Linked DNA regions of Arabidopsis thaliana. The protein of the gene in region 2 interacts with the protein of the main gene of each other region in a pairwise test. Each region holds a gene or a part of one and is shown on either strand. Other genes may lie near its edges.

Region 1 (3,871 bases), on a different chromosome or scaffold from region 2:
TTTTGGAATTTAAATCTTAAATTTGTTTGACATTAAAAAAGCGTTTAACTCCATTGTTTAAATTCAATACGGATGGTCCTTCTAAGAGGAAACCTTGCATGATCCTGCAAAAGGACTATACTTTAATTATAATAAATATGATATTTTATATGTTAATATACCTAATAAATTGTTTTATCTGACATAAATTTTTACATTGTAAAAAAATCATTTACGTTTTGATTAGGTATGCTAAGTGTTCGATTCTGAAATTTCACCCCGTTTAGTGTCTAACGATTTTTCGATCGTTAGATATTATATATCAAAATCGACTGAAAAGATTGTTAAAATTCATAAATACTTAAGCACTGTCTACAATTATTTACAATTTTTGGGGCTACATCATTACAATGCAATAATGTCAAAGAATCATAATAAAATTATTTCTGTCGAAATAATTAGATGCAAGGATCTCTTGGATAAAAACGTGCATGCGGAAATCCTTAAGAAAGTTTAGACTTGGCAGCTTTACAATCTCGAATCAACTTAAATTTATCGAACCTGATATGCGTATGCATATATAAACACACATGCTAGACAAAAAAAAGTATTTGAATTTTATAGTTGACAAAAAATATATTCGAATTATATGTATAGATAATGAGTTTGTAGTGACAAGCATGATGATGCATTGAGATCACGATAAGGGATAATTGAACAGTAAATTTGCGATGAAAACATTAAAATAACTAAAAACAGTTGACACACCATTTTCTCCGCGAAGAAGAAAATTCATAAAATCTAATAAAAAGTCACGATCATGTATTAAAATAAAAGATTATTATGTCGGCTCTACACCAAAATAATTTATCTCGTTATATCGATGTTTTCTTGATTCTTGAATTCTAAAGGGGACTTTTATTTATTTATAAATTGAGAACTTTAATGAAATTTGCTTTTAGGAAACACGAGAGATGATTAGTTGCAAATAAGATCCTCATCTTCTACATAATTACATTAGCTCTAACCTTATTTTTCCTTTGTTTCAAAAATCATAATAACCTCTTAAAATAAATAATACAATTTTAGCTAAGTATTATAGCAGAATAATAATCTCTATGACACATGATAAACACTTTAAGTACTATACACGATTAACAACCATAAAACGCTGAATATATGGTTTGATAATTTAGTGATGTGTATTTTTACCTTTTTATCTTTTTAACAAAATAATAACACATATATGATTAATGAATAATGTATTGAATTTGTTTCTGCTATATTTTACTATTAATAACATCATAACGTTTTCATGTTTGTTTGACAAAAAAGTTTTCATGCTTTCAAAATTTGATGATGTTATATGCTATAACTGTATTAGAAATATAATTAGATAAAAACGAAACATTATTAATATATAAAAACAAATCTTATATTGTTTAGCTCGACATTTAGATTATTGTTTTCTGAAGTTATTTTTGTAAACTTTTTATCTTCAAATTGAATAACTAATCATAAAATTAGTTATTAATTAATGTATGGCTGATAAAAAAAGAAAACAAGTCTTATACTAGCTTTTTATAATAACTTGTGGATACTCTATTATAAAGAGTTTTTACTTCTTGATAATTGAGTTGTTACATACTCCTATTATTCATACGACATACAAGTCGTATTTATAGGGTTAGGATAAGTTACCAAAATGTGGAATCACTTGCAATAAATGTGAAAACTTGTGGACTGTTGTCACAACTATTTATTATATTTAGATCTCACACAAAATTTGTTCTGTCAAGTGAATGTATCCAACATGAAATTGGCAAAAGCCAGCTATAAACAAAACCCAAAAAAAAAAACCACCTCTCTCAATAGTAAACAAAAAATAGGATAATAGGGTCATCTAAACACAAGCAAATATGGACTTATGCTGTTGTCATGATAGATAAAAATATGTACGGGTCTTTTAAGAGCATCAAATCAATTTAGCCCGTGGGTCCTTTTTTCTTTTACTTACTTAAAGACTTAGTGCAATATTTGTCCCATATCTCCCTTTACCCCTACCACACCCCACCTCCACCCTCAAACAATTGTTGCATATAAATAAGGAAGTGATTGATAAATGTAGAGACAAATACCCATCAAACTCTGTCTCTCACTTTCCTTCATTATTTACTCATTGCCCAAAATAATTCATTTATCATATCCTCAAACTTTTTTTTTTCTATACCTCGAAATCCAAAAAAATAAATACATTGGTTTAGTGTGGCATTGATGTTTTTGGTATAAAGCTCTTCACCAATGATAGCTTCAGAGAGTACCAAGAGCTGGGAAGCTAGCGCAGTCAGACAAGAGAATGAAGAAGAGAAGAAGAAACCGGTTAAAGATTCCGGTAAGCATCCGGTTTATCGGGGTGTCCGAAAGAGGAACTGGGGAAAATGGGTGTCCGAGATACGTGAACCTAGGAAAAAATCCCGAATATGGCTAGGAACGTTTCCTTCCCCGGAGATGGCGGCGCGTGCACACGACGTAGCCGCTCTTAGCATCAAAGGAGCCTCCGCTATACTCAATTTCCCTGACCTAGCCGGCTCTTTCCCACGCCCTAGCTCGCTTAGCCCTCGAGACATCCAGGTCGCGGCTCTCAAAGCCGCACACATGGAGACCTCACAGTCTTTTTCTTCTTCTTCTTCTTTAACGTTTTCATCTTCACAGTCTTCTTCTTCGCTAGAGTCTCTCGTGTCTTCCTCCGCGACCGGCTCCGAGGAGCTAGGGGAGATTGTAGAGCTCCCAAGTTTGGGATCGAGCTATGATGGTTTGACTCAGCTAGGTAACGAGTTTATATTCTCTGACTCCGCAGACTTATGGCCTTATCCACCGCAATGGTCAGAAGGTGATTACCAAATGATTCCTGCCTCGTTATCACAAGATTGGGATCTTCAAGGACTGTATAATTATTAAGTCATAATCATAAAAATATACTAGTAATGCTGTGTTTAATAATTACTTTTTAATGACCCCTTTATTTTGTATAGGGCGGCTTTAGGTTTATTTGTCTTTGAATCTTCTTTTCTCAATTTGTGGGTGTGAGAGAGCTCGATATATGAATACTTGTACATACTTCTCATAACATGTGTTTTTTTTTTCTTAATAAATGTGGAAACTTTGGAAATGAATAAATTGGACTAGTAGCCAATGGAAGCCACGTACCTTTCTATTTTGAATGTAGGTTAATGTTAATTTAAACGTAATACTGTTGTTTTTAATAACATTGATATAAAAACTATGTAGGTTGTTGATTTAAAATTATTGAAGATTCCTTTTCAGTTTCTTGTTTTCCCCCTTAGAGTTAGAGGTTAAAACTTTCTTCTGATTAAGCATAAATTAATCTTGACCAATTGTTTGTTTTTGCCTTTTCCTGTTTCCACTACCAGTTATTGAATTTTAATATTAGTTGATATATATTAAAATATCCAAACACTTGAATTATTTTGCATTCGAGTCTTGTTGTATTCTAATCAAACAATGACTTTTACTCATTGCATTTCCTTTTGCGACCCAATAGTAGTACAAAAGAATCTCCTCTTCGGTCTCTGGAGCACTAAGTTCAATATTGTGTAATATTGTAATACAAGTGTAGTTAGTTTGATACTATGTGTAAATAAATTAATAACTGTAATGAATGGTTCAAAATGGATCCCACTTTGTTTTTTTTTTGGTCACGATCTTACGTATCTTTTCTTTTTCGTCGTTGAAAAAAGGCTAAAAACTTTAATGATTAACTGTAATTAGAATTCCTCACTATCCATTAATCTTATTAAATAAAAACAGAATCTATTGAAATGACTTCTATATAATCAAAGATTAACATATAATAATAATAAATTAACGTAAA
Region 2 (5,763 bases):
TTTTGAAAAATCCATATGATGAAGGAGAGATGAAGCAGCTCCATCGTTACGTATCAATCCATAAAAAAATGACTCGATGCAGAGAACTACGAAAGGGAAGAGGATCTGATTATGAGACTGACGAACTGGGACAATCTTATCTAGAAAGTTTCCCTGATTTCGAAAAAGAATACAAGCTTGTGGTTGGTGTTGATAAGGCAAGAGCTTTGAAGTTGCTGCGTGGCTTTTTCTTTTACTTGAAATATGTTTCTCATGATGGTGTTTTCAAGCCTTGGGAGAAGACTCAAAGTTGGCAACCTTAGAAATGGTAAAGCTTTTGGCTTCATGTAGATTAAGTTTTTGGATTTCTGTCTGTTTTTTTTTTTTTCTTTGTTGTTGGATGGCAATCTGATCCAGTGTAGTTTCTTGTAACCAAAGAATCTGGTTTTATTTAGGTTTTTCCTGAAAACTGATGCAATGTCTCAAGACTTTCTGATCTCATATAACAAAAATTGAAGGAATCAGATGAGTGAAGGCATTACAATATTCAGTTTAAACGTTGTATCAAAAAATCTGAAACAGCCTTTGAAGGTCATAACAATCAGACATTGTCAAGTTGTCGAAACTAACAGAGAACAAGATGTGTAACCAAAATCAGCATCACCTTCCTTTATATTTACATGGCTAATATATGTTCGAGAAGTACATGTTAGGACCATGAAGCTATGAGTCATGTTGAGTCACCTATTCCCTTATGAACCAGCATATCATATACTCTGTCTACTTTACTCGGCTCTACTTTGAAGAAGCTATAAGCATCAGACTTTTTCTTTATCTGCCCCTTCTTTATTTCTCTTGTTAAGATATCCAACATCTTCAAATAGTGTACAGGCAGTATTCTGGTCTCATTGCACATCTTCTTTTCCTGCACAAAAAACAGCTTCAATCTCTCAAACCATAGGAATAATGTCAACAAATCAACAAAATCACAAATAAGATGACAAACATCAAGTTTGAAAATTATTGTTCTTACGGTCTCTGAGAGTAAGTCAGCTCCAAGGAGACCATCAACATCCCAAGTGTCCAAACCGCTGTATATTCTTGGAGGTGTGACCTTTGGCAGTGAGTCAGAACCAAAGGGATGCAAATTTCTGGGTAACCCTCTTGGACTTTTTAGTGTTTTACCGGCTATACTGCCTGGTGCACCGTGGTTAAGCCGCAGCAGCATACTTTCTTCAGCTTCCTTCTTTCTCTTCTCTTCTATAAATCTATTTGCGTCTGAAGTTGTCCTGCAACCAGCAGTTCTAGCTTCCTGCAACATTTATTAAAAGCTCAACTTAATGTTCCCACCTAATTGAGTTTGTAATCCAGTACTCAAGCTTGGTAAAATTTTAAGCATCAAACCTGAAGATCCTCGATTCTTCTGAGAATTTGGTGCTCTTCAATGACTTTCTTAATCAGTTCCTTGTGCTCTTCTTTGGATTGGAACCGCGCAAACACTTTACAGCTTTTATATATTTTTCTCTCCTCTGCTGAAAGGCTCATCTCATATTGATCAGGGTACAACAAGTTTCTTTCCAGAACAAATTCCTTCCTCCGCTTCCTCTCATCAAGCCTGCCAACAAAGGCACAATCTTGGCTTGTAGCATTGGCTTATGAAAAAATTCTCCGGTTTAAAAATGGTTGTTCCTGTGATAAGTGTACCTTTTCGAGTAAATACGAAGAACCTGCAGTTTCTGCTCACGCTCAGCATCTGTGTCAGAATCCTTAAATTCCATGTCAGCAAGCAGTTGCTCAGCATCGTTGTCATGTTCGATCTCAAATTCTTCCCTCTTTAGATTGTAACCATATAACTCTGTTACTAATGGAACTTTCTCTCCAGGAAGTCTGAGTTTCTTCTCCCCGACACTCCTGTCAGATTGTTGTTTTGCAGCTAAGACACAAGGGCCGTTAACTACCTTTAGTTTTTGTTCGCGTAAATATCACTTTGCATAAAAACTTGTTCCAGTATATAACAAACCTTCCAACTTGATGATGTCCTTAGCCTGCGGTACATTGCCTTTCTTCTTGACTGTACAATAAAAAGTATTACTTTACATATGGAATCATGGAAGAGATAATATTTGGGGTCGTAGTACGAAATGCGGATGATTTGCGTCCTTAGCCATAAATCTAAGTGCAAATAATGTCTACAATTTTATATAGATAAAAGCATTTTCACATACCTCCAGCTAAGGCAGACAAAGGTGGATCTATTTCATTGACCTTCCCTGAAGCTTCGTGTCTGCCCATGGAAACATAATAGTACTTTTAAAAAGGTGCATTCAACATTGTAAACGTAGGTAAACTATTGTTACAAGCATAAGTATATACTTGATTTCAGCTGACACAGGTAACTCTTCTTTTGGAGATAGCCTCACAAATGCAGGTATTTCTGTGACAAATAGTAAACAGAGCTCAGCATCCTCCTTTTTTCAGTCAAGGTTAATATACGAGTCCCAAATCAACAAGAAACCCCGCTAATAGATTTTAAAGCTGACCTGTTTTGACTGCACTATCTTTACTCATAGCAAGCAGCTCATCTTTGCTCTTTCCAATAGTATGGGACAAGTCCTACAGAGCGGGGAGCTAGAGTAAATAAACAAGCTAGGTTCAACTATCTGACGATCATGTGTTTTCATCAGTCCTTACCGGAAGTGGAAAGCATGGTGACTGCATGTAAGCAGAATTGAAGTGTTTAATACATTCTGTCGTTGTCTTACTACCAACATGGTCTGCAACTTCTTTCCAATTGCCAAACCCGTATGTCGCAATGGCCTAACACAGTCAATTTACTTCCCAATAGTCAGATGGAATCTCTATATAGACATGGGAGTGTACAATCAGAAACGATTAATGATTACCTCAAGAAGGAGTATCTCTTCATCGGCATTCCAATCAGAAGTAACAAGCGAAAAAGACAAATTGTCCTGTCAAACAAAAGGGTAGATTCAATACAAACAAAAATACAACCATAGAACATTTTCTTTGTTTTAAACACAATCACTAATCTAATTACTTTTCAGCTGACAAAGCGTTGAATTGAATTCAAATATACTGCTCGGCGTTGGAAACTAACCATAACACGATATGGGTGACTGTTCTTGTGACGATTAAGTTCAACGCCGACAGAAAAGCATTCCACACAAAGATCAAAGTCCATACAAACAGCACATTTGAAACGAACCAAACCAGACAGATCTTTATCGCAATAGTTACAACAGTAAAGGCCAGGTTTCCTCTCATTCCCAGCTTCAATTCCTACAATGTATTGGTACATGTAAGAACTTTTGGAAAACGCAGCTTGGTACATGATACATCAATGCATATCTATCCACAGCAGAAACTTTAGTCCTATCAGTATCACACCTAATTGCACAAGTAAACGGAAACCTACCGGTGGAAATTGATGCCGCAGCATTCTCAGGACCCAATGATATCTTTTTCCTTTTTGATTTTCTGAAACAGCCAAAATCATCAAAATTAGGATAAAGACAAGAGACGACAGCAGTATGAAATCAAGAGCCACCCACAAGTACCAAAAGAACTCCGATTCAGATAATCAAACACAGCTAAGTGGATTACCAGATATTGAAATGTTTTCGCAAAGACAAGTAAGTAATTGAACAGAGAAAACCCTAGAAGACTTCGAGCTAAGATGGACAAAGAACGAAACTTTAAACGAACCCTGGATTCAGGTCTTCCTCAGCAGGACGAGAAGCTAGTTTCGAACGACCCATCGGCACCAAGCTCGCACTTCTTCCCGGCAGATTGAAGAAAAAACCAGAAGAGCGAGAAAACGCTAAAAAGCAGTGAAAAAATGGTAAGTCGGTAAATGACTAAATTACCCTTAACAAGTGTCAATAATTATGTTCACGCCATCTTTAAACCCTACGGCAGTTGTCAGTGGTCACGTCTCTCTCTTAACCTAACCAATCCAAAGTTGCCGCTAGGGTCACCGGAAAACTTCAGAGTTGTGTCTTCTATTGAATTCTCCGGGAAGGTAAAGAAGATTAGTGGGTTTTGATTGTGCTGTATAAAGATGTGTACTTTGTTTGAGCTGTCTCTTAAACCCTAGCACCAATCCGTGAACCTTGAAGTTTGTCATTCCGGTAGAAATTCCTCAGCAGTTGATCTAATTCGTTCTCTGTGTAGTATTAGTGATGGGGCTTTCTCTTGGGGAACAACATTTCATTAAAGGTGGGATTGCTCAAGATCTTCGAACTGATGGTCGGAAAAGATTGACTTACCGTCCTATCTACGTCGAAACCGGTGTTATTCCGCAGGTAGTGTAATCTCCTAGAGCTCGTCCGCTTCTCATTGTTGCTTCCCAGTTGTTTAACAGATATGTTCTTTCTCTTGTTTTTGTTGGCTCTAGGCTAATGGTTCAGCGAGAGTTAGAATTGGTGGAACCGATGTGATTGCTAGTGTAAAGGTACTTCCTTTGTTCTCTCTGCTACTGTTCTATTGTTGAATGGGAAGTGCTATTGTAGATGTTACCCAGTAATCTTGTGTAATTGCAGGCTGAAATTGGGAGGCCAAGTTCACTTCAACCCGATAAAGGAAAGGTTGCAGTTTTCATTGATTGCAGTCCAACAGCTGAACCGACATTTGGGGTGAGCTTTTCTTTTATTTCGTTTGGTTTTGGTTCTATCTAGCACTTGTCACACCCGTTCTATCGTTCTATTGGTGTTTCTCTTACTAGTGGAATTGTTCAACATGAGATTTTGGTTATCATTACTTTTCTTCAGAATCTCCTAAATTCTACTGTGTTAAGTCTTTAGGCGGCTAATTCTTTGTGATATGTTGTTACTTAGGGGAGAGGAGGTGAGGAATTGTCTTCTGAGCTTGCTTTGGCTCTTCAAAGATGTCTTCTGGGTGGCAAAAGTGGAGCAGGTCTGCAATCATGTTTATGCAATGCTTTTTTTTACCTGCACACTGTTACGCTTTCTGTTTGTAACGTTTATAGCAATTCATGTTTTGGTACCAGGAGCTGGAATAAATTTATCTTCGCTTTTAATCAAAGAAGGAAAAGTTTGCTGGGACCTTTATATTGATGGTCTTGTCATTAGTTCGGATGGGAATCTATTGGATGCCCTGGGTGCTGCCATTAAGGTAATTCTTGTGATGTGTGTTTGGTTTTCTCTCTTAACCCTTAGTCTCAGGTTTTAGTTACGAATGTTAGTGAGTAAATCATACCCATCAATCAGAATCATGAGAAAGGAAAGGCCAGAGAATATAGGAAACGAAAGGGAATGGGTCTTTAGTTAAGTGTATATAGATTAGCTCAATGTAGTTGTCTTGTTATTGGTTTTAGTAGCTTTACGATATGTTTCCAATTGATAGTTTAAGCAACCCAAAAGTCATCTTTCCTCAAGGCTGATCACATGCTTTAATGCACTTGTTGACTATACTCCTGCAGGCTGCTTTAACCAACACGGCCATCCCAAAAGTCAATGTTTCAGCTGAAGTAGCAGATGATGAGCAACCAGAGATTGACATCAGCGACGAGGAATATCTTCAATTTGACACTTCCAGTGTCCCGGTCATAGTCACGTTAACAAAAGTAATCGAATCTCACTTTTCTTGATTCACATCGACATCTTCTTATGTACATTTCGCTAATCTTTTACCATGCTGTCCTTGGTTTTTGCAGGTGGGAACGCATTACATAGTTGATGCAACAGCAGAAGAGGAGTCTCAGATGAGCTCAGCTGTATCTATATCTGTGAATCGGACAGGCCA

Evidence for each region. The genes of interacting proteins can lie anywhere in the genome.
Region 1: the proteins of ADA2A (region 2) and tny interact in a two-hybrid assay, tested with the Arabidopsis thaliana proteins (one study listed by BioGRID).

The regions. Positions count from the first base shown.
Region 1 is NC_003076.8:8,986,042-8,989,912, reverse strand, and holds tny (Integrase-type DNA-binding superfamily protein), read left to right. Parts: upstream 1-2,014; 5' UTR 2,015-2,280; coding exon 2,281-2,937; 3' UTR 2,938-3,371; downstream 3,372-3,871. UniProt on the Arabidopsis thaliana protein: Putative transcriptional activator.
Region 2 is NC_003074.8:2,469,305-2,475,067, forward strand, and holds ADA2A (ADA2 2A), read right to left. Parts: upstream 3,792-5,763; 5' UTR 3,759-3,791; coding exon 3,706-3,758; exon of another isoform or gene 3,604-3,705; intron 3,478-3,603; coding exon 3,416-3,477; intron 3,333-3,415; exon of another isoform or gene 3,332-3,332; coding exon of another isoform or gene 3,280-3,331; coding exon 3,077-3,279; intron 2,949-3,076; coding exon 2,883-2,948; intron 2,797-2,882; coding exon 2,671-2,796; intron 2,593-2,670; coding exon 2,520-2,592; intron 2,414-2,519; coding exon 2,353-2,413; intron 2,264-2,352; coding exon 2,205-2,263; intron 2,051-2,204; coding exon 2,000-2,050; intron 1,913-1,999; coding exon 1,684-1,912; intron 1,595-1,683; coding exon 1,384-1,594; intron 1,292-1,383; coding exon 1,013-1,291; intron 905-1,012; coding exon 710-904; 3' UTR 527-709; downstream 1-526. Other genes in the region: AT3G07730 (uncharacterized protein), read left to right, coding at 1-302; AT3G07750 (3'-5'-exoribonuclease family protein), read left to right, coding at 4,182-4,304, 4,397-4,453, 4,542-4,634, 4,836-4,914, 5,009-5,133, 5,441-5,584, 5,675-5,763. UniProt on the Arabidopsis thaliana protein: Required for the function of some acidic activation domains, which activate transcription from a distant site. The exact mechanism of action is not yet known.